Linked DNA regions of Macaca mulatta. The protein of the gene in region 1 interacts with the protein of each later gene in a pairwise test. Links are inferred from orthologs where the notes say so. Each region holds a gene or a part of one and is shown in the gene's direction. Other genes may lie near its edges.

What was found.
Region 2: the proteins of PRPF31 (region 1) and myomegalin interact in binary tests that used the Homo sapiens proteins (3 or more experiments, as listed by UniProt). The two-hybrid records come from large-scale screens. The link is inferred for Macaca mulatta from reciprocal best matches to the Homo sapiens genes PRPF31 and PDE4DIP.
Region 3: the proteins of PRPF31 (region 1) and CCNDBP1 interact in binary tests that used the Homo sapiens proteins (3 or more experiments, as listed by UniProt). The two-hybrid records come from large-scale screens. The link is inferred for Macaca mulatta from reciprocal best matches to the Homo sapiens genes PRPF31 and CCNDBP1.
Region 4: the proteins of PRPF31 (region 1) and RBMX interact in binary tests that used the Homo sapiens proteins (3 or more experiments, as listed by UniProt). The link is inferred for Macaca mulatta from reciprocal best matches to the Homo sapiens genes PRPF31 and RBMX.
Region 5: the proteins of PRPF31 (region 1) and KCTD6 interact in binary tests that used the Homo sapiens proteins (3 or more experiments, as listed by UniProt). The two-hybrid records come from large-scale screens. The link is inferred for Macaca mulatta from reciprocal best matches to the Homo sapiens genes PRPF31 and KCTD6.
Region 6: the proteins of PRPF31 (region 1) and JAKMIP2 interact in binary tests that used the Homo sapiens proteins (3 or more experiments, as listed by UniProt). The two-hybrid records come from large-scale screens. The link is inferred for Macaca mulatta from reciprocal best matches to the Homo sapiens genes PRPF31 and JAKMIP2.
Region 7: the proteins of PRPF31 (region 1) and TFIP11 interact in binary tests that used the Homo sapiens proteins (3 or more experiments, as listed by UniProt). The link is inferred for Macaca mulatta from reciprocal best matches to the Homo sapiens genes PRPF31 and TFIP11.

Annotation. Positions count from the first base shown.
Region 1 is NC_133424.1:66,351,068-66,354,567, forward strand, and holds part of PRPF31 (U4/U6 small nuclear ribonucleoprotein Prp31), read left to right. Parts: intron 1-431; exon of another isoform or gene 432-436; coding exon 437-534; exon of another isoform or gene 535-621; intron 622-723; exon of another isoform or gene 724-1,352; coding exon 1,353-1,459; exon of another isoform or gene 1,460-1,658; coding exon 1,659-1,828; exon of another isoform or gene 1,829-2,123; intron 2,124-2,400; coding exon 2,401-2,558; intron 2,559-2,721; exon of another isoform or gene 2,722-3,174; intron 3,175-3,500. UniProt on the Homo sapiens protein: Involved in pre-mRNA splicing as component of the spliceosome. Required for the assembly of the U4/U5/U6 tri-snRNP complex, one of the building blocks of the spliceosome.
Region 2 is NC_133406.1:119,875,563-119,879,062, reverse strand, and holds part of myomegalin, read left to right. Parts: intron 1-360; coding exon 361-587; intron 588-2,891; coding exon 2,892-3,035; intron 3,036-3,500. UniProt on the Homo sapiens protein: Functions as an anchor sequestering components of the cAMP-dependent pathway to Golgi and/or centrosomes.
Region 3 is NC_133412.1:20,576,697-20,580,975, forward strand, and holds the start of CCNDBP1 (cyclin-D1-binding protein 1), read left to right. Parts: upstream 1-1,479; 5' UTR 1,480-1,575; coding exon 1,576-1,684; intron 1,685-1,887; coding exon 1,888-1,947; intron 1,948-2,227; coding exon 2,228-2,307; intron 2,308-4,279. Other genes in the region: TMEM62 (transmembrane protein 62), read left to right, coding at 367-693. UniProt on the Homo sapiens protein: May negatively regulate cell cycle progression. May act at least in part via inhibition of the cyclin-D1/CDK4 complex, thereby preventing phosphorylation of RB1 and blocking E2F-dependent transcription.
Region 4 is NC_133426.1:143,221,444-143,225,664, reverse strand, and holds the start of RBMX (RNA-binding motif protein, X chromosome), read left to right. Parts: upstream 1-1,421; 5' UTR 1,422-1,633; intron 1,634-2,579; exon of another isoform or gene 2,580-2,602; 5' UTR 2,603-2,713; coding exon 2,714-2,822; intron 2,823-2,869; exon of another isoform or gene 2,870-2,941; intron 2,942-3,016; coding exon 3,017-3,123; intron 3,124-4,008; coding exon 4,009-4,180; intron 4,181-4,221.
Region 5 is NC_133407.1:122,078,723-122,082,995, forward strand, and holds the start of KCTD6 (BTB/POZ domain-containing protein KCTD6), read left to right. Parts: upstream 1-1,473; 5' UTR 1,474-1,559; intron 1,560-1,745; exon of another isoform or gene 1,746-3,812; intron 3,813-4,273. UniProt on the Homo sapiens protein: Probable substrate-specific adapter of a BCR (BTB-CUL3-RBX1) E3 ubiquitin-protein ligase complex mediating the ubiquitination and subsequent proteasomal degradation of target proteins.
Region 6 is NC_133411.1:156,547,899-156,551,398, reverse strand, and holds part of JAKMIP2 (janus kinase and microtubule-interacting protein 2), read left to right. Parts: intron 1-196; coding exon 197-694; intron 695-3,500.
Region 7 is NC_133415.1:25,044,238-25,048,530, forward strand, and holds the start of TFIP11 (tuftelin-interacting protein 11), read left to right. Parts: upstream 1-1,493; 5' UTR 1,494-1,559; intron 1,560-1,777; 5' UTR 1,778-1,854; intron 1,855-2,753; exon of another isoform or gene 2,754-2,830; intron 2,831-3,235; 5' UTR 3,236-3,321; intron 3,322-3,656; 5' UTR 3,657-3,665; coding exon 3,666-3,874; intron 3,875-4,293. UniProt on the Homo sapiens protein: Involved in pre-mRNA splicing, specifically in spliceosome disassembly during late-stage splicing events. Intron turnover seems to proceed through reactions in two lariat-intron associated complexes termed Intron Large (IL) and Intron Small (IS).

The DNA of each region.
Region 1 (3,500 bases):
GTATGAGTCTGAGCGAGCACTCGGGGACGGCGTGGCTCCCTCGCGTATGAGTCTGAGCGAGCACTCGGGGACGGCGTGGCCGCTTGGCTGCCCGTAAGGCCCCAGCCCTTTCCATCTTGTTGGTCGGCCACCTGCCTCGTGGTGCGAGGGGACTGCCCCACGTCCAGCCGTCGCCTCTGCATTCCCACCAGCAAGGCACTTCTTTTTTTTAAGAACATGTCACTGCAGCTCACATTTTACAGACCAGAACTAATTCCCCTGGTCACACCTAGCGGTAAGGGCGGCTGAAAAATGGAGCCTGTATGCTGGTGCCCGTATGCCAGGCTACAAGCCAGGGCTTCAGTTACTAAAGGAAGAAGGGGACGTGGGTGTTAGGGCCAACCAGCAGAGTCTGCCTCCCGTCTCACCTGACACCCGCCTGTCCCGTTTACCCTAGACATCATCCATAAGTTCATCCGGGATAAGTACTCGAAGAGATTCCCTGAACTGGAGTCCTTGGTCCCCAATGCACTGGATTACATCCGCACGGTCAAGGTGAGAGCAGAGGAGGAGCGGTGCTTCTGCTGGTGTGAAGGTGCAGGCAGGGCTCACTCTTGGACCCGCCCCCAGAGGCCTCGGGGTCTGGAGGTGAAGGAGAGGAGTGGACGGAGGCTCAGTGGCCTGCTCTGCCCAGGGTGAGAGGGACGGAGCCTGGATGGGACTTTCTCAGGGCTCCCCTCGTACCCCAGTCTCCCGAGAGGGCTTCCCCGCTGGCCTGACCCGCGCTGCTTCCGCTGTGGTCGGAGCCGGTGGCATTGGAGTTGACATCCGAAGGTCGTCACAGGGCAGGCACGCGGAGATTTGGGGGAGAGAGATGTGTTAAGTATGGAGAGCCGGAGAGGGAACAAGCGGGGAGGAAGTGAGGCGGGGAAGGAGGGGACGCGGAAGAGGTCGGATCACACTGAGCCTTTGGGTCTTATGAGAAAGCCAAGGAAGGGTTTCGGAAAAGAGGGGCGGATGCAGGTGAGGGCAGGGAGAGGAGGCGGTCCCCACGTGTGTCCGGGAAAGGATCAGGATGGTGGTGGGGGAAGCCCCCGCAGGGAAGCGAGGCCGCGGGTTTGTGCTCCGACTCGACACAGGCAGAGGCTTGTGAGGCCGCGGTCTTCCCAGACGCTGCTCTGCCCAGGTTCCGTTTCCAAAGCAGAGCAGACGGTGTGGATGCTTCAGGCGGTGGAGGCAGGAGAGGCCCCCAGTGTAGAGACCCTGACTTTCCCAGTGTCCCCGAGAAGAGACCCGAGTAGGTGCAGGGCCAGAGAGGCTCTCAAGCCTTCCTGAGTTCCTGAGCCTCCCCTGTCTTCTCTGCTCGCGCCCAGGAGCTGGGCAACAGCCTGGACAAGTGCAAGAACAATGAGAACCTGCAGCAGATCCTCACCAACGCCACCATCATGGTCGTCAGCGTCACCGCCTCCACCACCCAGGGGTATGTCCGCTGGAGGGAGGCGCCGGGCCCGGGCCAGTGGGACTGGGGATTAGGCTGAAGCTACCCACGCAGGTGGGCATACACACACACGCACACACACACACACACACACACGTGCACACACACACAACTGAGAGGGTGGGTGCTGGGCACCAAGCAGGCGGGAGACCCAGGAGGCTGGGCCCACCCGCCCCTGCAGGCAGCAGCTGTCGGAGGAGGAGCTGGAGCGGCTGGAGGAGGCCTGTGACATGGCGCTGGAGCTGAACGCCTCCAAGCACCGCATCTACGAGTACGTGGAGTCCCGGATGTCCTTCATCGCGCCCAACCTCTCCATCATTATTGGGGCGTCCACGGCCGCCAAGATCATGGGTGAGGCCCTGGGCTGGGTCCCATGGAGCGGGACTCTGCTGACACTGTGATCTGGGGGAAGCTGCTTCCCTTTTCTGTAGAATGGGGACTTTGGCACCTGGGCCTCAACACCCCGTCTCCCTGGACGTGACAGAGGTCAGCCAGCCTGGCACACAGCAAAGCCTCGTCTGGGAGAAACACTCACCCACAGCTCCTCCTCCCTCCCCTGTGCCGGAAAGCCAGAGATGACCACACCCAGGCCCTGTTGTCAGGGGGCTCCTGGTTTGGTGAAAATGGTTCCAAAACACAGACATCCCTGGAATGGGGGTAGTGTGGCTTAGCACAAACGTGGTGGTCAGTTGCCTGTTGGGGGCCTCCTCCCTGCACCCCAGGCCAGCTGCCCTCCCTCTCTGAGCCTCCTTTGCGTCTGCCCCTCGCGGAATGGGCCAGGTCGCCCGCCTGGCAGGGCCACCGAGGAATCCAGCCAGAACCTCACGTAAAGGTGCTTGGCACATGTCGAGCCCCCAGGCAGATGTGCGCACCCCCGCCTCCCCCGCTTTCTTCTGACCGCCCCTGTCCTCCTCCCACCGCAGGCGTGGCCGGCGGCCTGACCAACCTCTCCAAGATGCCCGCCTGCAACATCATGCTGCTCGGGGCCCAGCGCAAGACGCTGTCGGGCTTCTCGTCTACCTCAGTGCTGCCCCACACCGGCTACATCTACCACAGTGACATTGTGCAGTCCCTGCCCCCGGTGAGCCCACCGCGTCACAGCCCCTCCCCCGGCTCCCCTGGAGCCTTCCGCCTGCCCAGACGGCCTGAGCAGCCACCCCCACCATCTGGCCCAGCTGACAGTAGCACTCAGGAGCCGGGGACAGGGTAGCATGGGATGTGAGAGCCAGGGTTCTGCAGCACACCTGTCGGGTGACTGTGGGCAAGAGGCGTGAGTGCCCTGTGCCTCAGTCTCCTCCCCTCGAAAATGGGAGCACAGCGCCTGCTTCACGAGTTGGGGCGAGGGCTCCATGTAGACGAGGCCCTCACAAGGCAGGCCTAGCTCACGACAAGCAGCGTCGGGTTAGCAGCTGCTCCGAAGGCCACCGTCACTGGAAAGACACGGAACCCCTGAGGGCTGCTGTGCTGGGGACTGTATAACAGATTAACATTAGCCACAGGGAGAGACACACAGGAGGAGCAGGAGAGGTCACCAACCTCGGAGGGCGATGTGTCCTCTCCCCGCAGTCAGGACACATCACCCTCCCGGCATCGATGCCTGACAGCACACACAGGGCCGCCAGCCTCACACCCGTAATCCCAGCACTTTGCGAGGCCGAGGCGGGAGCATCACTTGAGGCCAGAAGTTGAAGACTAACCTGGGCAACATAGTGAGACCCCGACTCTTTTTTTTGTCTTGATTCCAATGGGATTGGAAACACCCTGTCTCTACAAGAATAAAAAACCCGGTGTGGCAGCGCTTGCCTGTCATCCCAGCTACTTGGGAGGCTGAGATGGGAGGATACTTTGCGCCCGGGAGGCGGAGGTTGCAGCGAGCCAAGATTGCACCACTGCACTTAAGCCTGGGCCAGGGACGCTTGCCTGGGCCGTGGTGTTCAGTCTTTATTGTGGCTCTGCTGTGTAGACACGACTGTGTTGCCGTGTGGCTGGTCTGTCTCCAGGTCAGGTGATGCCCCATAACTCA
Region 2 (3,500 bases), on another chromosome or scaffold:
CATTGCACCATAATCTCTCCATTCTTGAAAATGTTCTCTGTATCCAGCTTGATTTCCTTGTCTGTGTCTTCTCTACCCAGAAACTTATTATTTATTATGATTTGTCCTATTTCATTGGCCAATAAGAAAAAATTGTCCCCTGGCAAATTTATCATTAAGAGATGATGTAAGAAAAATTACAAAAATATAGAAGCCAGAAGATCTCTATGGTCTTTGCCCCACCCTTGTACATTCCAAGGCTTCCTTTCTTGTTCCCAGCCTCTTCCTTTTCTTGTCTCCTACCTCTTCTGAGTTGGAGCAAACCTAGGATATCATTATGAATAACAGAGGATTCTGTTGTGTTGTTATTTTCTTTTCCAGGCTTGGGTTTGGATACTTCTCCAGTAATGAAGACCCCTCCCAAGCTGGAGGGTGATGCTACTGATGGCTCCTTTGCCAATAAGCATGGCCGCCATGTCATTGGCCACATTGATGACTACAGTGCCCTGAGACAGCAGATTGTGGAGGGCAAGCTGCTGGCCAAAAAGATAGTGTCTCTTGTGAGGTCAGCGTGCAGCTTCCCTGGCCTTGAAGCCCAAGGCACAGAGGTAATCACACCTGTAGCTTTAGATGCACTGTTTCCTTGTGCCCTTTCTTCCTTTGATGGTAACTCCTTCTCCCACCATTTTTGTTTTTGTTTTTGTTTTTCGTGCTTTGCATCTCTCAACAGCTGAGGCTTCCTCTTCCATGTACAGCAGCCAGGCCCTGTCTTCTCTGTCTCCTATTTTCACTGTCAGTTCTGCTCTGTTCCAGATGTAGCTGACTGGATATTTCCCCTCAGCCCCACAGAAACATGTGGCATTGCCTAGCAGCCTTTGGGAGCTTTTTTTTTTTTCCTCTTTTCTTGTTTTTATTATTATACCTTAGGTTCTAGGGTACATATGCACAATGTGCAGGTTTGTTACATATGTATACATGTGCCATGTTGGTGTGCTGCACCCATTAACTCGTCATTTACATTAGGTATATCTCCTAATGCTATCCCTCTCCTCTGCCCCCTCCCCACAATAGGACCTGGTGTGTGATGTTCCCCTTCCTGTGTCCAAGTGATCTCATTGTCAAGTTCCCACCTATGAGTGAGAACATGCAGTGTTTGGTTTTCTGTTCTTGAGATAGTTTGCTGAGAATGATGGTTTCCAGCTGCATCCATGTCTCTTCAAAGGACACGAACTCATCCTTTTTTATGGCTGCATAGTGTTCCATGGTGTATATGTGCCACATTTTCTTTTTTTTTTTTTTTTTTTTTTTTTGAGACGGAGTCTCGCTCTGTCACCCAGGCTGGAGTGCAGTGGCCAGATCTCAGCTCACTGCAAGCTCCGCCTCCCGGGTTCCCGCCATTCTCCTGCCTCAGCCTCCCGAGTAGCTGGGACCACAGGCGCCGCCACCTCGCCCGGCTAATTTTTTGTGTTTTTAGTAGAGACGGGGTTTCGCCGTGTTAGCCAGGATGGTCTCAATCTCCTGACCTAGTGATCCGCCCGTCTCGGCCTCCCAAAGTGCTGGGATTACAGGCTTGAGCCACCGCGCCCGGCCATGTGCCACATTTTCTTAATCCAGTCTGTCACTGATGGACATTTGGGTTGATTCCAAGTCTTTGCTATTGTGAATAGTGCCACAATAAACATACATGTGCATGTGTGTTTATAGCAGCATGATTTATAATCCTTTGGGTATATCCCCAGTAATGGGATGGCTGGGTCAAATGGTATTTCTAGTTCTAGATCCTTGAGGAATCGCCACACTGTTTTCCATAATGGTTGAACTATTTTACAGTCCCACCAACAGTGTAAAAGTGTTCCTATTTCTCCACATCCTCTCCAGCACCTGTTGTTTCCTGACTTTTTAATGATCGCCATTCTAACTGCTGTGAGATGGTATCTCATTGTGGTTTTGATTTGCATTTCTCTGATGGCCAGTGATGATGGGCATTTTTTCACGTGTCTGTTGGCTGCATAAATGTCTTCTTTTGAGAAGTGTCTGTTCATATCCTTTGCCCACTTTTTGATGGGGTTGTTTGTTTTTTTCTTGTAAATTTGAGTTCTTTGTAGGTTCTGGATATTAGCCCTTTGTCAGATGAGTAGATTGCAAAGATTTTCTCCCATTCTGTAGTTTGCCTGTTCACTCTGATGGTGGTTTCCTTTGCTGTGCAGAAGCTCTTGAGTTTAATTAGATCCCATTTGTCAATTTTGGCTTTTGTTACCATTGCTTTATGCAGGCACATGACCATCTGTGGGCAGAGTTGACACAATGGGGTGGACAGAAACTGAAGGATTTGCAGGTGTATGGCCCCCACATGTGGAAGGGGTGAGAAGCCTGGCAGCCATGGCATTTCCTTGTGCAGACTGCATAGAGGGAGGGAAGGCAGTCAGCAAAGCTTCTCAGAGCGCCTTGCCAGTGAGAGAGACCAGGCACCAGGGCTGTGCTGTCTGAGCTGCTGGAGACCCATGGATGCGTAGGGACAGCCCTGCCTCCACGGAACCCCACACTAGAGGGCAAGACACACACACAAGTAGATCAGCACAGTAAGGGGCTACAGACACAGCATGAGAAGCCATCCTCTGTGCTGTGAGGCCGCCAATGCAAACGTGGTCATTTATCTCAGGCAAGGAAGGTAACAGGTTCATAGAGGACACAGCAAGGGGGGTGAGTTTTGAAAGCCTTGTGGGTTCTGCAGGTGGAGGGAGGCATACCTGGTAAAGGGACCAGCACCTTAGTTCTGAGAGCTGCAAATGGTTGTGCGAGGGCTTCACAGTTCAAGCAGGCCCATGTTCTGTGCCTCACTCACAAAGGAAGCGGGAGCCCATGCAGGGGGAAGAAAGTAATCTCTCCGCTTCTGTGGTGTTACCTTTCCCCAGGTGATGGGCAGCAAAGGCATACATGAGCTTCGGAGCAGCACCACTGCCCTGCACCATGCCCTAGAGGAGTCGGCTTCCCTCCTCACCGTGTTCTGGAGAGCGGCCCTGCCAAGCACCCACATCCCTGTGCTGCCTGGCAAAGTGGTAAGATGCCAGTGTCCTTTCTTGGTTTGAACCCAGTTTTCCTGCCCTCCAATACTGTTCTGTCTCTTCAGTGTCACAGCTTTTCAAGAAAATCGGGAGCCACATAGTGAATTGGGATAGACAGGACCTTAGAGGAGTGTCCCTGGAGGGACATCTCTGACCCATGGTGGCTGCTTTCATTGCAGCTGTAAATACATCCCATTCCCCACCAACCCCCTGGCCCCTGGATAAAAAATCAAGAAGAGGAAGGGGTGTGGAGAAGGCGGAGACATCATAACCCTGGCAATCCATAAAGGTTCAGTTTCTTTACCTCTCTGAAGTTTGGCTGAGCTGAAATTCAGTTAAAGCTTCAGCACCCACCTCCCACCCCTCAGGTCCCACGGTCACATGATCACAGAATGCCCCCATGAGACTGAGCCTTTTCAGCCGCTGCCTGGAATTCCAGCATATCACTTCAGCTGGCAT
Region 3 (4,279 bases), on another chromosome or scaffold:
TACTGACAGCCAAGCGCTCCCCTCACTCCACCAAAAAAGAGGGGTTGTTGTATGTGTGTGTATACATTTACTCAGTTCAATTCCAGCTTAACACCACTGGGTATTAACTGTGTATATGATACTGTACTACAAGTTGGGACTTCAACATAAATTAAATGATACCCGCCTCTAAGATGAATAAAAGGACATGGGCAAATACACAACTAGCCACAAGTCAGCTGTTGTGTTATAAGCAACTGTGCTTGAAGTAAATTAGCTAACCCCAAGACAGAAAGCAGCATATTCTTAGGATCCACTAATGATGCATTATTAAGACCAAACTCTTCCAAGGACTTGGGAGTAAGCTATGGCTCTGTTCTTTTCCAGCTGGCATTTTTTAACATCCCCTTGATGGCTTACATGTGTTGGAGCTTGCTGCAGCGGTGCTTTGGTCACAACTTCAGGTCTCATCTCCATCAAAGAAAATACTTGAAAATTATGCCTGTTCACCTACTTATGCTACTGCTGTACATCTGGCAGATTTATTCCTGCTACTTTCTTTATGCGACATACGGCACCCTAGCTTTTTTATTCTCCCCTTTGCGGACCTGGTTGACACTGCTGACACCTGTTCTCATTCGTTGTGTGTGGACACTGAACTCCGCCAAGCTTGGAATCTTCATGGTGCAGTTAAAAAGCCACCTGAGCTCCTGAAGGCCATGTCTCACCACTGGCAGCTGGGCAGAAGCCCAGCCTCTGTGTCTGTAGCCTAGGCCTCTACCCCAGTAGCAGGTGGAGGGCCAGTATTGGTGCGTGAGCTTTAGGGAGCTGCTGCTCGTTTGGACTCCTGGATGTTGGAGGGATTACCCACTACTGATACCTGCAGAATGGACTGCAGAAAAGTCTCAAAAATAATGCCTTTATTCCTTCCCTCCTCAAGGAGGCAAAGAGTTGATTTATCTTTGTGAAGAGAAAACCCTTATCTAGGACACCCACAGGGTAGGGGTTGGGTGTGTGTACGGGAGTGTCAGAGGCCCAGTGTGTTTTTTAGGGGTTACCCCATGTAAAGCACCTACCGCTGTGCTTGAAATTCAGCAGCTGTCAAAGGTGCAATTTCAAGGGCAGGGAACCTTTGAGGATCTGGGCCCGACCCTGACCACGGCTGAGATATTAGTTCCCAGGCCTGTTTTCCCGCAGGATTGTGGGCTCTCTGCTTCCTTAGTCGGAAGTGTTTTCAACTAATCAAATAAATGAATGAATGATGAATAAGAAAGACCGTGAGCCTGAGCCTTGCTCGTGTGGCCTCGCTTAAGGGGCGAGAGAAGGCGTGGCTTGTCCTGGCCTCTGGGATGGTTGGTGCTGGACCTCTGGGGACAGGGCGGGGCGGGAGGAGGCGGGGCCAGGCCTGGTCTCTCATAATGGGATGGGTGGTGCTGGACCTCTGGGGGCGGGGCCGGGCCTCTGGGGCGGGGCTGGACGGCTTGTTGCCGGAAACGAGCCATTGACGCTGTGGCCCGGAAGTGGAGCGGCTGTCGCAGTGCGGCTCCGGCAGTGGTGGCGGAGGCCTGTGTTTGCGGCCTTCGGCAAGCGACTGAGATGGCGAGCGCAACTGCACCTGCAGCCGCAGCCCCCACCCTGGCTCCACCTTTGCAGCAGCTCCGGCACTTGGCGGAGGAGCTGCGGTTGCTCCTGCCTCGAGTGCGGGGTGAGCTGACGGAGTTGGAACGCGCGACGGCAGGGGCGGGCTCGGGGAGAGGCCGGGATCGGGGAGAGGCCGGGCTCGGGGTCGCGGAGAGGGCGGGCTGGGGCGGCGGCGGCGGGGAGCCAGGCTCGGGCGAGGGAGGTAGGTCCGCTTACCTTAGCTTTTCCACTCGCCACCATTCGGCCCCCACACGCCACACCCGCAAGTCGGCGAAGCCCAGGAGACCACCGAGGAGTTTAATCGAGAGATGTTCTGGAGAAGACTCAGTGAGTGCGCCTCCTGTCCCGGCTCCCCTTGCCTCAGTTCCTTCAGCGTCCCGACCCCTTTCCCTCTCGCTCTCCCCCAGGGAGGGGACTGCCCTCCCCTGCTGCATCCTTTCTGTGAGATACCTTACCCACCTCAGCACCTGAGAGGGTAAACTAGAATTCTAACATCGACATTCGGGAGGTGTTTTTGAGAAGTCTGGGTCGGTAAGGGAACGCGTATCTTCCAAGTCCGTGCAGCGCTAATGTATTGGCACCTGCCTTCTCTTCGGCCACCCCCCAGATGAGGCAGCTGTGACAGTGTCAAGGGAAGCCACGACTCTGACCACAGTCTTCTCTCAGCTTCCACTGCCGTCTCCACAGGTGGGCTTCACTTTCCTGGAATCCTTGGGCTGCCGAGTTACACCTTAGGAATCCTCTAATTTTCTTTCCACCTTTTACACGCATGCCAGGAGATTTGTTTTCTTCGTCTGTCCAATGAGGTTACCGTTTTTTACTTCACAGGCTTGTTGTGAAGACCGAACTGCCAAGTGCATTTCCTGGCGCGGAGTAGGCAGGTCTTATAAATATTGGTTCAATCTGAAGTTCACCCTGGTGGTTTCTTTTCTGATAATTTTTTAAGCACTTTTTATGTGCTGGGTGTTTTCACATACTTGATGGCCATCTGACAGATGAGCAAGCAGGCTCAGAAGCTCAGGTTAAGATTTAAAAAAAAAGCAGGGGAGCTAGAATTTAAATCAAGGTCTATCTGATGTCTAAGGTACACCTATTCTGTTATACTACATAATACCCTTTTTATATTATTTTTTATATTTAATCAGTAACCTATGCAGATAGTATAAAATTCAAAAGATATCAAAGTTAAGTGTGTTAAGTTTATCCTTCCATCCACTTTCTCATTTTTGTCTCCCCCAGTTCCTTTTGCATTATTCCACATACATTCTGTACATATATACATTCATAAACATTTATCTTGTATGTGTCAGCTTCTTTTTACACAAATGGTAAGATACCATAAACACTGTTCTGGACCTTCCTTTAAATAAATTAACAATAGAGCTTAGAAATCAACTCTTAGCAGCTAGTATAAAGTTGTTCCGTTCTTTGTAATGACTGCATGGTATTCAATAGACTAGATATAAACATAATTTAACCATACTCTATGTGGACATTTAAGCTGTTTCCAACTTAGAATTACTGCAAACAGTGTTGTGATGAATTACGTAATTCTGTGTATGTATGTATATCAGTAGAAAAAATTCCCAGAAGTGGAATTGCTAGAACAAAGAATTTATGCGTTTTAAATATTCCTTTATTATTAAACTAATGAAAGTAAACATGTTGGCTGTGACCACGTATGCTCTATGCTTAGTTTTTTCTAGAGCTGTGTATCCTTAATATGGGAGTAAGATTCCTTTAAAATGGCATATTCATTGCCTTATTTGATTTTCATAGTCAATAGTTTTAATTTCTCAGTCTACATATATAGGTGTTTGGAAAGAATATAGGTATCTTCTGCTGCATGTACCTACAGTGATAAACTCTCTCCTCCTCACATACCTTTGAGATTTTTTTTTTTTTTTTTTTTTTTTGAGGCAAAGTCTCACTCTGTCACTCAGGCTGAAGTGCAGTGGCACAGTCTCGGCTCACCGCATCCTCTGCCTATGCGGTTCGAGCAGTCCTCCTGCCTCAGCCTCTCGAGTAGCTGGAATTACAGGCACCCGCCACCATGCCTGGCTAATTTTTGTATTTTTAGTTGAGACGGGGTTTCACCGTGTTGGGCAGGCTAGTCTCGAACTCCTGACCTCAAGTGATCTGCCTACCTTGACCTCCCAAAGTGTAGGGATTACAGGCATGAGCCACCGTGCCTGGCCTACCTTTGAGATTTGTGATGAGGAAACAAGAGATGAATTGTATGACGGCACTTTAAAAGATTCATGGAAAATAGACTATTTCAAAAAGAATAGTTAATATTATCTTATTTTTCTTATCTGCTAACCCCTTTCTTTCAAATACACTTAGGACTTGCTGCTAAAACTCACTGCAAGTAAGATACCACAAGGAGGCAGCATAGAACTGATTTTCTATACATGCTCAGGACAGTAGTTTTACTCATAGATGAAAAATTAGAATTTGGATTTATTTGAAATATATACAAATATTCAAGTATATACATATATTCAAATAAATACATATATGTATATATGTGTGTATATATACACATACATACACATGAATCATCATTGCCTTCTTGAGATCTCACCACTTTAGTCCTACTAAAAGATGGGTGGGTTTTTTTTTGTTTTTTTAAAATTCCAATCTTCATGGAATGATA
Region 4 (4,221 bases), on another chromosome or scaffold:
CTTCGACCTCCCAAAGTGCTGGGATTACAGGCGTGAGCCACCGCGCCCGGCCGCGTTCCATATTTTTATTTATTTATTTTTAACAGCTTCGTAGAATAAATTAGCGTCCCGCATTTTCTTTTTCCTTTGAGACGGAGTCTCGCTCTGTCGCCTGCCCAGGCTGGAGTGCGGTGGCGCAGTCTTGGCTCACTGTAACCTCCGCCTCCCAGTTTCAAGCGATTCTCCTGCCTCAGCCACCTGAGTAGCTGCGACTACAGGCGCGTGCCACCACGCCTGGGTAATTTCTTGTATTTTTATTTTTATTTTATTTTTTTTGAGACGGAGTCTCGCTCTCTTGCCCGGGCTGGAGTGCAGTGGCCGGATCTCAGCTCACTGCAAGCTCCGCCTCCCGGGTTCCCGCCATTCTCCTGCCTCAGCCTCCCGAGTAGCTGGGAACAGGCACCCGCCACCTCGCCCGGCTAGTTTTTTGTAGTTTTTTTAAGTAGACACGGGGTTTCATCGTGTTAGCCAGGATGGTCTCGATCTCCTGACCTCGTGATCCGCCCGTCTCGGCCTCCCAAAGTGCTGGGATTACAGGCTTGAGCCATCGCGCCCGGCCAATTTCTTTATTTTTAAAAAGAGATGGGGTTTCACCGTGTTAGCCAGGATGGTCTCCATCTCCTGACCTCGTGATCCACCGGCCTCGGCCTCACAAAGTGCTGGGATTACAGGCGTGAGCCACCGCGCCCGGCCTCGTATTTTCATTTCTTAAATCCGGCACCCTTACCCACAGGCCTGACTCTTGTCTTTTCCTGGGGTTTCATCTTCCTGGCCTAGCCTAGAGCCCACTATTTACAAGGTGCTCAGTAATTGTTCTATGTGAATTAACTATCTGCATGCTGTTTTGTATGTTTTTTACTCATCTGAAATTTACATGTATTTATTAGAAATGCCCACACCCACTAAAAACACTTGTTAAAGACAATTTTTGAAAATATATTATATTGCCAAAACTTCTTTGTTTTCCGTTCCTGCAAAATTGGTATAGTAGGAGTATCTTCCCTTATCACATTTTGACAATTAGAAGAGTTAATGGAAAAGTAAAAGTAAAGTTTTGCATCGTGCCTGGCCCACTAGGCGCTCAATAATTTCAGTTCTGTATTAAATGAAGCCTGTGCACCATTTTAGAGCAAAGCAAAAAAAGCGCGTTTGTAAAGAACGGGTGGGGGTAGGGAAAACGGTTAGAAAGGTCCGCCGACCCAACACGGAGGGCCCGGGAAAAAGGGAGGAGAGAAGAGTGAGTGACAGAGGAGGCAGCCAATGGGGAGACTGGGAACTACTTCCCCCCTCCCTTTGCGTTTCAAATTCTAAGCTCCGTTTCCATCCGGGTCCTTCAGCCTCGTTCCCGGGCAGTATAAAGTTTGCTGTCTCCTTTGTTCGCCCTCGTTGCGCAGTAGTGCTAGCGGCTTCGCGGTTTGGTCCTCCGACGGAGCAGCCGCCACTGGTGCTGAGCTGCTCGGAGGCCCGTGTCGGCGAGCTCGTTGGAGCTTGAACCCATTGTCACCCCTCCGGTACGTGTCTCCTTTCCTCAGTCCGTTTTTCGTGACACTCTCGCCGTGTTAGGACTGGGGATTATATCTCCCTGGAGATGGGGGTGGCGGGCGCCATTTTAAGAACCCAAAGGTTCCGACCTATTTAAATAAAGCAGAAGGGGTCGAGGGAAAACAAATGAGGGGGCCCGTTTGGTTGTATGCCTCTCGAGAAAGTTTGGCTGCCGCCTGCGGGAGTTGGTAGCGGAGGTCGGGGCTTTGTAGGCTGGAGCGGGGCGAGGAGCGACCGCACCACCGCGATACCTGCATTGGTATGGCGCTGGCGCTAATGATGGGCATGTGGACTTCCATGCGGGCTGCGGGCTACGTATTCATTGGCGGCCCCGGAGAAGAAGCCCTCTGAATGTTCCCAGCCAATGTTGGTGGTAAAAGTTAGTCCCCTGACCAGTGTCAGTGGTTCTGGGTTGAATCCAAGTGTCGCCATTTTGTCTTTTACACGCGGTTTTTAATGACGAGTTTTAATTAGGTTCCGCTGCAGTCACGGAGTGTCGAGTGTTAGTGTGTGCGTCCGCGTTCCGTTACTTAATAGGAAACGAGGTTGACAATTTGTTTTTATCTTTTTGGCTGGATAGTAGAATTTTAGGTAGGGCGGGGGCCGGTGGAGAAGAGGCGGCATAACTTGGCTCAAACTTCACATTTCTCCTTGGATTTAGTAGGGAATTCTAAATAGGAAAAGAGGACGTTGGAAGAGGGCTTGGTGTTAAGGTCCTGTGCCTGGCCTGTGACCTTGGGAGTCTTTTAAAACCCCATCGTTAGGAAGGGCGTGATGAGTAATTGAATCTTTCAAAGGCAACAGAACTAGAACTAGAAGTTGGTTTTTCAGATGTTAAGCAGCTGTTGCTTAAGAACAGCTATGGGTGGTCAAGGGTAGTGGTGAGAGTTAAACTGGCCCTTTTAACCAGTTTTATGTAAATTGCATTGTTACTAATCTACTTAATTCAAATTGCTTCCTACTGTGACTGAGGCTTAGTTTGTTATCCCTTTCTTTAGTTATTAAGAAACAATGGTTTTAGTGGAAAATATGAAAAATGTGCCAAAGTAAAAGTGTCCAATAAACTTGAGGAACTTTTTGCAGTGAGGTAATACTATTCCTTTTCAACAGACTCACCGGCAAAAAAAAAAAAATGGTTGAAGCAGATCGCCCAGGAAAGCTCTTCATTGGTGGGCTTAATACGGAAACAAATGAGAAAGCTCTTGAAGCAGTATTTGGCAAATATGGACGAATAGTGGAAGGTGAGTTGTCTGGCAGTACAGGCTGGGCTATGATAATTAAAATATAAGCTATGATGAATTTGATTGCATTGATCGTCTGACATGATAATGTATTTTGTCCTCTAAGAAGTTCTGAGCTTTCTGTTTACACATTTACTTTGGTTATTTCATTTGAACTAGGGTAACGCTTTATTTTTCTGAAAACTACTTTTTAGTACTCTTGATGAAAGACCGGGAAACCAACAAATCAAGAGGATTTGCTTTTGTCACCTTTGAAAGCCCAGCAGACGCTAAGGATGCAGCCAGAGACATGAATGGAAAGGTGAGATTGTCTACCCAATGGATGATAACCTGTTAACAGTGCATAACATAACATAGTTGCCCAAGTCTGGTCTAGGGCAGCTTTTGAGTTTTCGTCGTTTTTCAGTATATACCTGTCTGGGACTCATCCTGTTTGTGATCCCGTTCCAAAGAGTATTCTGTAATTGCAGAACCAAATCTGGTAGTGAGTTATATCTTACGCTGTTAACATTCTCTCGGTTCAGAATAATTATGACATTACGTGATACCTTTTTTTTTTTTTTGGTAGTCTCCCTCTATCACCTAGGCTGGAGTGCAATGGTGTGATCTGCCCACTGCAACCTCTGCCTCCCGACTTCTAAATGATTATTCTGCCTCAGCCTCCCGAGTAGCTGGGATTACAGGCACGCGCGACCACACCCGGATAATTTTGTATTTTTGGTAGAGACGGGGTTTCACCATTTTGGCCAGGCTGGTCACAAACTCCTGATTTCAGGTGATCCACCCGCCTCAGCCTCCCAAAGTACTGGGATTACAGGTGTGAGCCACTGCACCTAGCCAACATGATACATTTTGTCTTGAGATCCATAAACCATATTTTGATAACTTGGCTTTTAGTTTTGATAACAAACTGATACCTACTTGGCCTTGTTTTAAATTTTACCATACAGTAATGCAGTGGATTCACGTTATGTTTCAATCCAGACCATCAGTATCATTTTCAAGTATTAAGAATTTTAAGTGGAAAAGCCCCATTTAACTGGCTATATTTGCAGTGTTTTTTCTTAGACTAATTAGTGAGCAACACTTATCCATAACTGTATTTTGAAGGACCCGTTAGTGTCTTAGTGCATAGTAGATGTGCAAATTGTTTAAATCTTGATTTAACCATATCTTTTTTTTTTAGTCATTAGATGGAAAAGCCATCAAAGTGGAACAAGCCACCAAACCATCATTTGAAAGTGGTAGACGTGGACCGCCTCCACCTCCAAGAAGTAGAGGCCCTCCAAGAGGTCTTAGAGGTGGAAGAGGAGGAAGTGGAGGAACCAGGGGACCTCCCTCACGGGGAGGACACATGGGTAATAACTTGCGTAGACCTCGGGTTTGGTGTGTAAGTTAG
Region 5 (4,273 bases), on another chromosome or scaffold:
ATTCAGAAGAATGTTAAGAAGCAATGCCATTAACATCCCCATACTATTATCTTGAACACGATGATCCTTCAACATTTTTGTCTGTATATATGTTTTTAAAAATAAAATCAGGATATCATGTATACTAGTTTGTGTACTGATCATTTTGATCATTTTCACACACATTTCCCTGTATTCTCACCTAGTCTTTGTGAATTTGATCATGTAGCACTTGGGTATGTTGATGAAGCATATGTCATTTATTTAACCTATCAATTTGAGCTTTGGAGAAGAATCAAGTATCAGATACAACTGTGATGATCATGCTGATATAATTTCAACCCCAGAGCTAGCTCACACACATGCAGACGTGAAACCCAAGTAAGTTTCTAAGGCCAGTGGTTATTCTGGTGGAGAAGGTTAAACCCAGCATCAGGTAACCGGTCCCAACGGAAGGGGACAGAGGCCTGGCTAGTAGGAAGCGAATGGGACTTGGAACGAGTGGACGGATGGAGGCCAATTAGCCCTGAGGCGTTAGGAGCTGCCCATCCTCTGCAGTCTTGGCTTCCTTCCTGGTGAAGTGGGGACAATACCGGCGCCAGTCTCATCTAGGGCCGAGCTCCTCCAGGCCCCAGAGCCTTTGCACGGGTCGTTTCGTCTGCTGAAGGTGGCTCTGCCCTTCTCTCCACCTGGCTGCCCGTGTTGCTGAGGCTCTGGGCCCAGCTGTCCTTTGCTGTCCTGCCCACCAGGCCGGAGGGGTGGCCGCGGGGGCTTCTTCACAGGCCTCATCGCAGGGTTGTCTCCCCAGTGCAGGGCAGGCAGGAGAGGCTCCGACCGCAGGTCCGGGGTCCAGGTCTTCCTTGGCTACTGCGTTTGAAGCAGGGGCTCCCTTCCCTTCTCCATCTAAGTCCTCTAATCACGCCTCTCCCAACGCTTATGATCATAACCTGTCATTATTTTGTCTATTAGCTGTTTCCTTGACTCTTGTCTGTCTTCTCCTTTCATTAGGACCCGCTTGCGTCTTGGTAGCCGCTGTATCTCCTAAACCCCCAGGCCTGAGATATAGTGGGGGTCCCATACAAGTTCATGAAATGACTAAGGAGAAACAGCTGTGGAAACACCAGCTCTGAGGACGCAGTGGGCCTGGGGCTGGGCGGACCCCAGGCTGCGGACGGAGGCGGGACGCAGGGGCGGGGTTTCGGGGCTTCGGGGCTTCTGAGCTGAGCCTAAGGGGCGGGACTGGGGCTTCAGGGCGGGGCTTCGGGGCTGCGGTCTTGCGGTCTTGACCGCGCGGCTCCGGCTGCGCTCGCTCCTAAGGCCGCCCGGCTCTCTGGCTTCCCGCCCGCGCTGCCGTTAGGGGGCGCCCGCGCTTGTGGCGCTACGGCTCTGCTGGGAAGGCGCCGCCCGCGCCGGGCAGCTGGAGCCGCAACTCCGGGCGCGGGCTCAGTCGTCCCTTCTGCCGCCGCCGCCGCCGCCGCCGCCGGGCGCGGGCTCGCTCGTCCCCGCGCTCGCGCTCTCCGGCCGCGGGCATCTCCCGGCCCGGCCGCCGCCGCTGCCGCCGCCGCCGCCGCCGCCGCGCAGTGAGTGGGGCTGGCTTGGGGCTTGCGGGGCCGGGGCTTGGGAGGGCCGGGGCTTGGGAGGGCCGGGTTTCGGGAGACGTCTGCGCGGAGCGGCCAGGGGAGCGGGGCAGAGGATTATCTGGGCGGGGGCTCCTGGAACCGGGCGGTGGCGGCGGGGCCGCGTTGAGGGGACCGCGCGTCCCGGGGCTGGCACGAGCCGGCGGCGGAGGTGCCCGCGGCGGGGCCTGGGCGGGGGTTCTGGGGTCCGCCCGCGGGGATGCGCGGTTTCTGCGGGCCCGGGTTCGGAGCTCCGCGGAGCGCCCCTCGTCCGGGCCCGGAGCATCGCCCGCCCTACCCCTGGCCGGGTCGGGTTTGTGGGGGTTTCGCTGGTGGGGCAGCAGCGAAGCACGGCCCGGACGGAGACATTCGGGGTGTGCTCGAAAATGATTGTTTTTGGGAGATTGCGCTTATTAGCCACCAATTGCCCTAGTTTAAAGCGTGAGCCAGGACTCAAAACCCTGGCTTTGGGATTTTCTACCCTGAAGAGACACTCAGATTGCAGCTGAGTTCTTTATGCCTAGATTTGTGTGTGTGGTGGCGTTTTTAATGCTTGATGTCAGAGGTGATAAATGGCTGTGGTAATGGGGAGCCCTGGCAGCACCTGCTGGGCTGTCAGTGGTGGAGGCTGTGTCTGGGGGTGGGACGGGGAAATGAAACGTGACAGAGATCCTGTTTGGATATTCTGCTGAAGTTATCATGTTTCTGTTCAAGTATACCAGTTCTAGAACAAGTTGATGGATCCAATTTTAGGACTTTGTGATAGAAGAGGTTTGGGTGGCAAAGTGACCTGGGATGACCCGGCTCGGCTAAGAATATTTGGGGTAGCCTAAGCATCTCTTCCATATCCCCCTGGCATGTTCTTTTTTTCGCTGTCACAAATGCCCTATTACTTGAATCATCCTGGGATAGGAGAGAAGCTTGGGGACAGCATGTAGCACAGTCCTGAGCCCAAGATTGAGATGTTTTCAAATGAATAAATATGTAGCTAGGAAAAGGAAAATGGTTTTGTCAGCAGGGTTGGTAGGTTGAGAGAATTTTCTCTTTGGCCGAAAACCATCAGTCCATAAAGATACTTGATTTTGTGCTATGCTTTAGATATGAACGATGGAGTGGAGTGGTCAGGACAGCCACGGATGCCATCCCAAAGTTTTGTGATTTGAATTTTCATAAATCATATTTTAACCAAAGCATTACTACTTACAGAAATCTTAGGGTGAACCCTATGAATCCTTCGGTGCGTTTGGATTTTGATATTTGGGGTCCATTTAAAATGGAGTACATGTATGTATTTGGATTCAGCTTTACCTTGGAGATAATCCTGAGTCATGCTTTAAGGAAGTTCCTTCTGAGATCAGGAGCTCAGATGTTGGGTGATCTCTGGGAAAACTAGACACTCCCCTTTACCTGTATGTAGTTCTCCCTTCTGGAGCTGTGGGAAAAAGAGGACCCGGGGAGATTTAGAGCAAATTAAGAGGCTGCCTCCTCCATATTTGCCGTCTCCAGGCCAATGCTCTAAATTACTTTGTTCACACTCAAGTTTTTCATGTTAACATAGAAATTTTGTTTATGCTGCTGCCACTAGTGTTTTCACGTTTGTCTAATACTTGCCAGTTTACAGATGGTTTTATATTCATGATCTCCTTTATTTTCTCCATTTCCCCAAAGAAGAAGCTGAGCATAAAGAGTCATTTTCTCAGGGTCTCATAATCAGTAATGGAGCAAAATTCGACTACAGGACCTCCCTGGGAACCTGTTCTCTTTCCTTGTCCTGTGATGTGTTACTCTTATAGGCCAATTTTTGCTTTTGTGTAGTGCCTAAATGGTGTAATTACTTTTGGGAAGATGGTATTAGCCCATCTTACCTTTCGGAAACTGAGGGTTAAGAGGAGTGTTACGATTTTGTGACAGCTTTTTAATATTAGGTCACTTTTAAACCTGTAACTCCTCTCTTCTTGACCACATGGTTGAGAGAGGAGAAAGAGAAAATGATTACTTTTAGAGAAAAATCCATTTCTGCAGTGGTATGGTTAAGGATAATGTAACACCATAATCACATTATCCTTGTATGCCTGGCTACTTGTGCTGGCCTGTATGTGAATGTTAACCCCAAAGGCTCCTTTAGATGTCGCTGAACTAGTTACTATAAAAAGTATTTCACTTTCAAACTCCCACATTTCAAGAAGAGCAAAACTCAGTAAAAAGGCAATTTTGAAGGTAAGTATAGAGAGAGGGAGTTTATTGAGTCTTTTCTGACTACCAGACACGAAGGTTTCATTAAAAACGCATTTTAAAGGGCTGCCTGGAAACTCTGGGAAGTCAGTAGTTGGAAGTTTTTATTTTTCATTGAAGTTCGGAGGTTTTTATTGCAACATATAGGTAGTTATACAGGATTAGGACTTTTGCCCTGGAGAATTCTTAATCTATAGCAAGAATGATAAACCCAGAATATTGTTAGGTTGGTTCATCGTAACCATGAGGCCTGAAATTGCAATTCTGCAGTGACAGGGAGAATGGCATTTAAGGGTTCTTAGGTTACTTTTTTAAGTTATTAACTTACTGAATTATGTATTCTTCAGATATACTACTTTAGAAAATTAATATTTTCTTTTAAGGCTTCTGTAAATTCTTCAGTATGTGTTTTCTTAAGCTTAATTACCTGCTAACATGACACTGTC
Region 6 (3,500 bases), on another chromosome or scaffold:
TCCTCAGGTAATTCCGCCTTTTACACACTGTATTCCCAGCTTCAAGGCCTGTAGTTCTTTTTTCTCAGAGGGCCTGGAATTGGAAAAGAGATGAGGAATTAAGAGATCACAGCGGCCTGAGCTGCAAATCCTGCCTAGGAGCACACCTGTCCTTTGAGGCTCATTTCTCTTCATCCTTTTGCCTCTCTGTTTTTAGGTATCAAAGCTTGAAAGAGAGAAGACTCAAGAAGCGAAGAGGATTCGTGAGCTGGAGCAGCGCAAGCACACGGTGCTGGTGACAGAACTCAAAACCAAGCTCCATGAGGAGAAGATGAAGGAGCTGCAGGCTGTGAGGGAGAACCTTATCAAGCAGCACGAGCAGGAGATGTCAAGGACGGTGAAGGTGCGTGATGGAGAGATCCAGAGGCTCAAGTCTGCTCTCTGTGCTCTCCGTGATGGCAGCAGTGACAAAGTAAGGACAGCGCTCACCATTGAGGCCCGGGAGGAGGCCCGGAAACTGTTTGATGCAGAGCGTCTTAAGCTCTTACAGGAAATTGCGGACCTGAAAACGGCCAAGAAGCAGGTGGACGAGGCTCTGAGCAATATGATCCAAGCAGATAAAATCAAGGCTGGGGACCTTCGGAGTGAGCATCAGTCCCACCAAGAAGCCATCTCGAAGATCAAGTGGGAGTCGGAACGGGATATTCGGAGGCTGGTTAGTACAGTAATCCCATCAGACCCATGTAGAACCCGTCTCTTCCAGGTTTCAGAGTGCTGTGGGATTTGCTTCTTCGTGTGTTTTCTTGTCAGTGGATTGTAAACAGTGCCTACCTTTTGTCCAGTGCTCTATCCAAGATAGCTCAGTATGTAGGTAGGTAGATCAATAGAGAGATATGCTCCGGCCAAAATTGATATTGTAAAGTGTAAGAGATTTTGGAAATCACCTTTCTCATAAAAACTGGATTCTCCAAGGACCATATATACAGAAAGTATCTCCAAGGACCATATATATGGAAAGGACTCCTGTTTCCTTAGATATTTATAAAAATATTATAAATCATGGATTCTTCTAAAGTCAGCATGTTTTTGTGGGCTTTTCCTTTACAGAGTTTTATGGTTTCTTTGTTTGTTTTTATAGAGGGTAGGAGAAGTTTCTATGACTTTCATGATGTCTGAAAACGGCAGCTACTGAGAACATCTTGAGTCTTTTTTTTTCCAAAAACCGTGACTGAAAAAAGATACAAAACTATAAAATCCCTAGTCATTTTAAACATAGATATTTTTCCCAAAGTATACAGGAGTCATTTAAAACAGGAGGCATTATAATTTTTAAATTGTCATCCCTAAGTAGGTTGTTTGCTATTTATAGTTTCTAAGACTTACCTCAGCCCCTACAGAGTTGGTCTTTCCTTCTAACATGTTTGACCAAAAACCAGATAGGCCTCTCACTATGCTTAACTATAATACAAATATAATTATCACATGAAAATTAAATGTCCTAGGTTGACCTGGTTTAATTATTTTAGACCAAAAAAATTTATGTTCATCTGCATTCAGATGTTTAGCATCTGTTACATCTTACTTTAATGTTATCACATCAACTATCACCTGTTAGAATGTACTTTATGTTTCTCTGGAAGTAAGGTTTTTTTCATGAAAAACTACACTTTTACTTTTTTGTCTTCCAGTTCTAAGCAATTACTTTCTGAGAATTCTAATTATGTTCCTTGGGTGATATCTCTAGGCTTTTAATTTTAAGTTCAAAGTGGTTACCACAGAGCATTTTTAAAAGTTAATGCTTAATTTTCTTTGTACTGCAATACAGTGTAACTGTAAAATATTGCCTTTGCCACATTTTCTGAATTATTTATGTCAACTCATTCTATTGCACTGTTTGACAATAAAGACCAAACACAGTGCAGAAATATTGGTCTCTGCCCTGCCTTTGGTTTTTGAAACGACAGTGGCTGATGAAGAATCAGGACTTCGAACTCTGGAGCTGGCAGGTAAGTATCCAATGAAAAGGCAGCTTTGCATTAAGTATTTTCATTTGTTGACGGTTTTCAATATAAAGTCTATAAGTATATCCACTTGATCTGCTAATTTTTTCCACGACTTCCTTTCACCGGCATATTGCCGAAGTAGGCATGAAATCCCTCTTAATAGCAACGTGAAGGGGAGGGGCCAAGATGGCCGAATAGAAACAGCTCAGGTCTGCAGCTCCCAGCGAGACTAACACAGAAGGCGGGTTATTTCTGTTTTTCCAATCGAGGTACCAGTTCATCTCACTGGGACGGGTTTGGCAGTGGGTGCAACCCACAGGGAATGAGCAGAAGCAGGGTGGGGTGTCGCTTCATGTGGGAAGTGCATGCAGCCAGGGGACCTCCTTCCCCCAGCAAAGGGAAGCAGTGAGAGACTGTGCTACCTGCCAAAGGTACTACGCTTTTCCCATGGATATTTGCGATCCACGGATCAGCACATTCCCTCATGAGCCTACACCACCAGGGCCCTGGGTTTCAAGCACACATCTGGGCAGCTGTTTGAGCAGGCACTGAGCTGCAGGATTTTCTTTTTTTCATACTCCAGTGGCGCCTGGAACTCCAATGAGTCAGGACCACCGTCCAATCTCCTGGAAAGGGGGCTGAAGCCAGGGAGCCAAGCAGTCTCACACAGCGGGTCCCAGTCCCACTCCCACGCTCCCATGGAACCCAGCAAGCTAAGAAACACTGGCTTGAAATTCTCACTGCCAGCACAGCAGTCCAGAGTCAGCCTGGGATGATCGAGTTTGGTCGGGGGAGGAGTGACCATCATTACTATGGCTTTAGTTGGCAGTTTTCCCCTGACAGTGCTAACGAGACTGAGAGTTTTTTTGGACTGGGTGGAATTCACCAGAGCGGCTGTGACCAGACTGCTTCTCTAGAGTCCTCCCCAGTAGGCAAGGTCTGTCTGCAGGAAATCCAGCAGCTCCATTCAGGGGCTTACAGACAGGACAGTCATCTCCCTGGAACAAGGCACTTGAGGGGAAGGGCGGCTGTGGTAGCAGCTTTGGCGGATTTAATCTTTCCTGCCTGCCGGCTCTGAAGAGAGTGGCTGATCCTGACAGGGGAGATTCTCCCAGCACAGCGCACCAGCTCTGCTAAGGGACAGTCTGCCTCCTCAAGTGGGTTCCTGACCCCTGTGCCTCCTGACTGGGAGAGACATCGCAGCAGGGGCCGACAGACACCTCACACAAGAGAGCTCTGGCTGGCATCAGGCCAGTCCCCCTCTAAGATGAAGCTTCCAGAGGAAGGAGCAGGCAGCAATCTTTGCTGTTCTGCAGTCTCTCCACTGGTGGAACCTAGGCAGTAAGGGTCTGGAGTGGACCTCCAGCAAACTCCAGCAGACCTGAAGAAAAAAGGCCTGTTTGAAGAAAAACAAATAACAACAAACAAAACTAAAAAAGCAACAACATCAACAAAAAGACCCTCCCACAGAAACCCCATCCAAATGTCATCAGCCTCAAAGATCAAAAGTAGAGAAAT
Region 7 (4,293 bases), on another chromosome or scaffold:
TTTTCTGTTTCTTTCCTGAGTATATACTATGTGTCAGGCACAACGATTCTACATGTCACTAGGAATACAGAGATCATTAAGACACAGACACCATTCCTAAGCAGCCCACATTTAACTGGGTACACAAAAATCGTTGTTTTAATTCTTTTTTTTTTTTTTTTTTTTTTTTTTTTTTGAGACGGAGTCTCGCTCTGTCACCCAGGCTGGAGTGCAGTGGCCGGATCTCAGCTCACTGCAAGCCCCGCCTCCCAGGTTCACGCCATTCTCCTGCCTCAGCCACCCGAGTAGCTGGGACTACAGGCGCCCGCCACCTCGCCCGGCTAGTTTTTTGTATTTCTTAATAGAGACGAGGTTTCACCGTGTTAGCCAGGATGGTCTCGATCTCCTGACCTTGTGATCCGCCCGTCTCGGCCTCCCAAAGTGCTGGGATTACAGGCTTGAGCCACCGCGCCCGGCCTGTTTTAATTCTTAACAACTACTTGACGGTAGACTTAAGTATATGACTCCAAGTCCCGTGCTCTTTTTACATTCCAAGAATTGCCTCTTGGATCTTTTCATCACATAGAGCAGAGAGAGAAAAATTAAGCAAAAATTAACAGCTAACACTTTTTGAGCACCTACTGTTACCAGGTACGGTTTTCATTGCCTACAGTTTTATCTTATTGAATCCTTAACCATTTTGCCGAAGAGAAAACAGGCTTAGACGTAATGACTTGCCCAAGGTCCACAGCTGCTAAATTGCAGAGTCAAGGTTGGAACTCCAGAGCCTGTGGACACTTAAATGTCTACACGGAGTCCCTGGGCTAGTGAGGGCTTCCCAGGGAGGGCCCATGACTGTTCTGCTCATTGTATCACATTGGCCTAGCAGCACAGGTGAGGGGCACTCACTATATTTTAATTCGATCAGTGAATACATGAATGAATTTACCAGCCTGCTGGAAACGAAGAGAATGGAAACATCTCCTGGAGAGAATACTTGGGAAGTCTAGAGTTTGCCCATTCATTCCTTCATTCCCTCTTAAACTCCTTCATAAAGGCCACTGCCCTGTGCCCACGACAGCGTCAGAGACACAGGAGTCACAGTCTTGACCTTCATTATTCCCATTTGAATGTTGTGTCCCAGGCCCCTTATTGTCTCACAGTATTTACCACAACTACCCTATGGGCTAATCCTACATCTCTTATTTTACAGATTTACACTCTCAGTGGCAAAGTCTCCTTAGGCCAAGGTGGCTCAGCGGATTCCACATCAGTCATCACAGGCTGAGCGTCGGACTACAAAGCAGGCGCAGCACCGAGGCCGACTCCACGGGAAAACCACTCCCCAGCCATTCTAGACCTTGCAAATCCACCCCTCCTCTCTAAGATCCCAGCCGGCCGCTCTACAGCCATACCCGCCGTAGCGTTCCACGCTGCCGCGGCAGCCAGTAGGACATCCGCTGTCGACTAACGTCATTTCCGGCGCGCCAGCCACGCTGCATCCGGGTTCTGGCGTAGGAGCGGCGGTCTTCTCGCGCGGATTGTGAAGCTGAGTTTTGGTACGCTGGACCCTCGGAGAGGTGAGCGAGGCTGGCTACGAGGGGACTCAGCGCCAGTGGGAGTAGGGGCGAAGGTTCGGGGAAGGCGAGCTGCGGTCCAAGCCGTTGGGGTGTGGGGAGGGGAATCCATTTCGTAGACAGCTCTGCCGAGGCACGGAGAGGGGCGGTGCTGCTTGGGGTCTACTGGAATTTAGGGCTTGGGTTCAGTTAAGAACCTGAGCCTCCTTCGCCAAACCTAGACAGCAAGAGAGAGACAAGCCCGAGGCCTGACTTCTAGCTCTCCTGAGTTTGAGCCCTATGAGCAGTGGAACCTAAGGTAAGTGACTAACTTCTCTGAATCTCCTTTTTCTTATCTGAAACATGAAAACTAACGGTACCTACTTTGCAGAAGTGTCTTGATGCGGACAGTTGATAATCGGTCTCAAGCGACCAGCATGTACCTAGCATCTACTGATGAGGGCTTCATAACTTGTGACTACTCACTCAGGGCTTATTACCACCTACTATGCCCACGGAGGCAGTGGTATTATTTAACCTTATGTATTTGAGAGTCCCCACCTTTTCCGAAAACCCTTCTGTCTTAAACACTCCTGGAAGAGGTTGGGACCAGCTGCATCCAAACAGTGCACCAGTGAGTAGAAGAGGGCAGAGATAACGTTTTGCCAGAGGTGACCAGAGTTGGACACTGCCTGTGGAAGTAGTGAACTCCGTGTGCCTTAAGGCCGCTTTCAGCAAGACAAGAATCACAATTGCTCTCACCTGTTGAATGTATTATTGTGTAGTGCACCATGCTTGGCGCTTCGCGTGCATTTAATTCTCATACACTGAGTATCTGATAGAGTTGAATTTGAACTCAGGCTTCGATTTTAGCGTGCCAGATTTTAGAATCACTTTGCTAAGTTTACACCCTAGTGCCATAATAGTAATGATGATTGTGATGGTTAATACTGAGTGTTAACTTGATTGGATTAAAGGATAGGAAGTATTGATCCTGGGTGTGACTATGTGGGTGTTGCCAAAGGAGATTAACATTTGAGTCCGTGGGTGGGGAAAGGCAGACCCACCCTCAATCTGTGTGGGCATAATCTAATCAGCTGCCAGCACGGCAGGAATATAAGCAGGCAGAAAAATGTGAAAGGAGAGACTGGTCTAGCCTCCCAACCTACATCTTTCTCCATGCTGGATGCTTCCTGCCTTCCAACATTGGACTCCAAGTTCTTCAGCTTTGGAAATTGACTGGCTCTCCTTGCTCCTCAGCCTGCAGACAGCCTATTGTGACACCTTGTGATAGTGTGAGTTAATACTTAATAAGCTCCCCTTTATATATATATGTCTATTCCATTAGTTCTCTTCCTCTAGAAAACCCTAATACAATGATTAACCTAATCATGGGACTAAAGTAGAAGCTGTCGTTTCTTGAGCACTTATTTTGAACTCATTGAATTTGCCTTATAAGCATTCTCTAAGGTTGGTATAGTAGTTTATCCCAATTTAAGAAATACAGCTGAATTTGCTCACCCAGCTACCATGAGGTAGATTCTCTATATCAATCCCTGGCCATCTGACTATTAAAATAGTGTTCATAATTACTACAGTCTTTCAGCTCATCAGAAGAAATTCATGTGAGGAAAACTGAAAATGTTGTTTCATCAAGTAATGTATTTCAAAAAGCATGTTCTAAAAAAAATCACTCCTAGGACCACCAAGGATCCAGATATAATTCTTTCCTCAGTAATAGAAAAAAGAATCTGGGATCTAAGAAGATAGCCACTCATTTTCTAAGGCAATAGTGTACAAAATAACCTATTTAGTTATTTTTGTGTGGTTTGTGTATGTGTGAATATGTGTGATATTTATGATATTGGCTAGGACAAGGAAATATATACTTTTAAAGAATCATAGATGGTTGGGACTAGTATTTTGTTCACCTGTTTTAGTACTGATTGTTTTCTAAAAGTAGGTTTTTAATATTTTCTTTATTGAATAGTAATGCCAATTTTAATGGACTTTGAATTCAGAGAAAGTTCTGAAGGCAGCAAGGAATAGAGACTCACAAGGAATCCTCCTACTGCTGCCCCCAGAACTTATGGCCTGTGCCCTTTTTGTCTCTTTCTTTAGCGACTGGCCATGTCATTGTCCCACTTGTACCGGGATGGGGAAGGCCGCATTGATGATGATGATGACGAGCGGGAGAACTTTGAGATCACTGACTGGGATCTCCAGAATGAGTTCAACCCCAACCGACAGCGCCACTGGCAGACCAAGGAAGAAGCCACCTACGGGGTGTGGGCAGAGCGAGACTCGGATGATGAGAGGCCCAGCTTTGGAGGCAAACGGTACTGCCTGGCATGGGGGCTGCTTCACCTTGCTTTAGGGAAGAGGGGGAAGATGGGCAGGGAGTGGAGGAGATACCGTGATAACTATACTTGTCTCCTGGCCTTGTTGAGACTGTTAGCTGTGACATCATCTCGAGAGGTCTGGTTTCCTCTTTAGGCTAGAGTGCTGCTCTTTCACTTTTTTATTTATTTTATTTTATTTTATTTTATTTTATTCTATTTATTTATTTATTTATTTATTTATTTATTTATTTGAGACACTGTTTCACTCTGTTGCCCAGGCTGGAGTGCAGTGACATAATCTTGGCTCGCTGCAACCTCCACCTTCCGGATTCAAGTGATTCTCATGCCTCAGCCTCCCGAGTAGCTGGAATTATTGGCACACGCAACCACCTCCAGCTAATTTTTGTATTATTAGT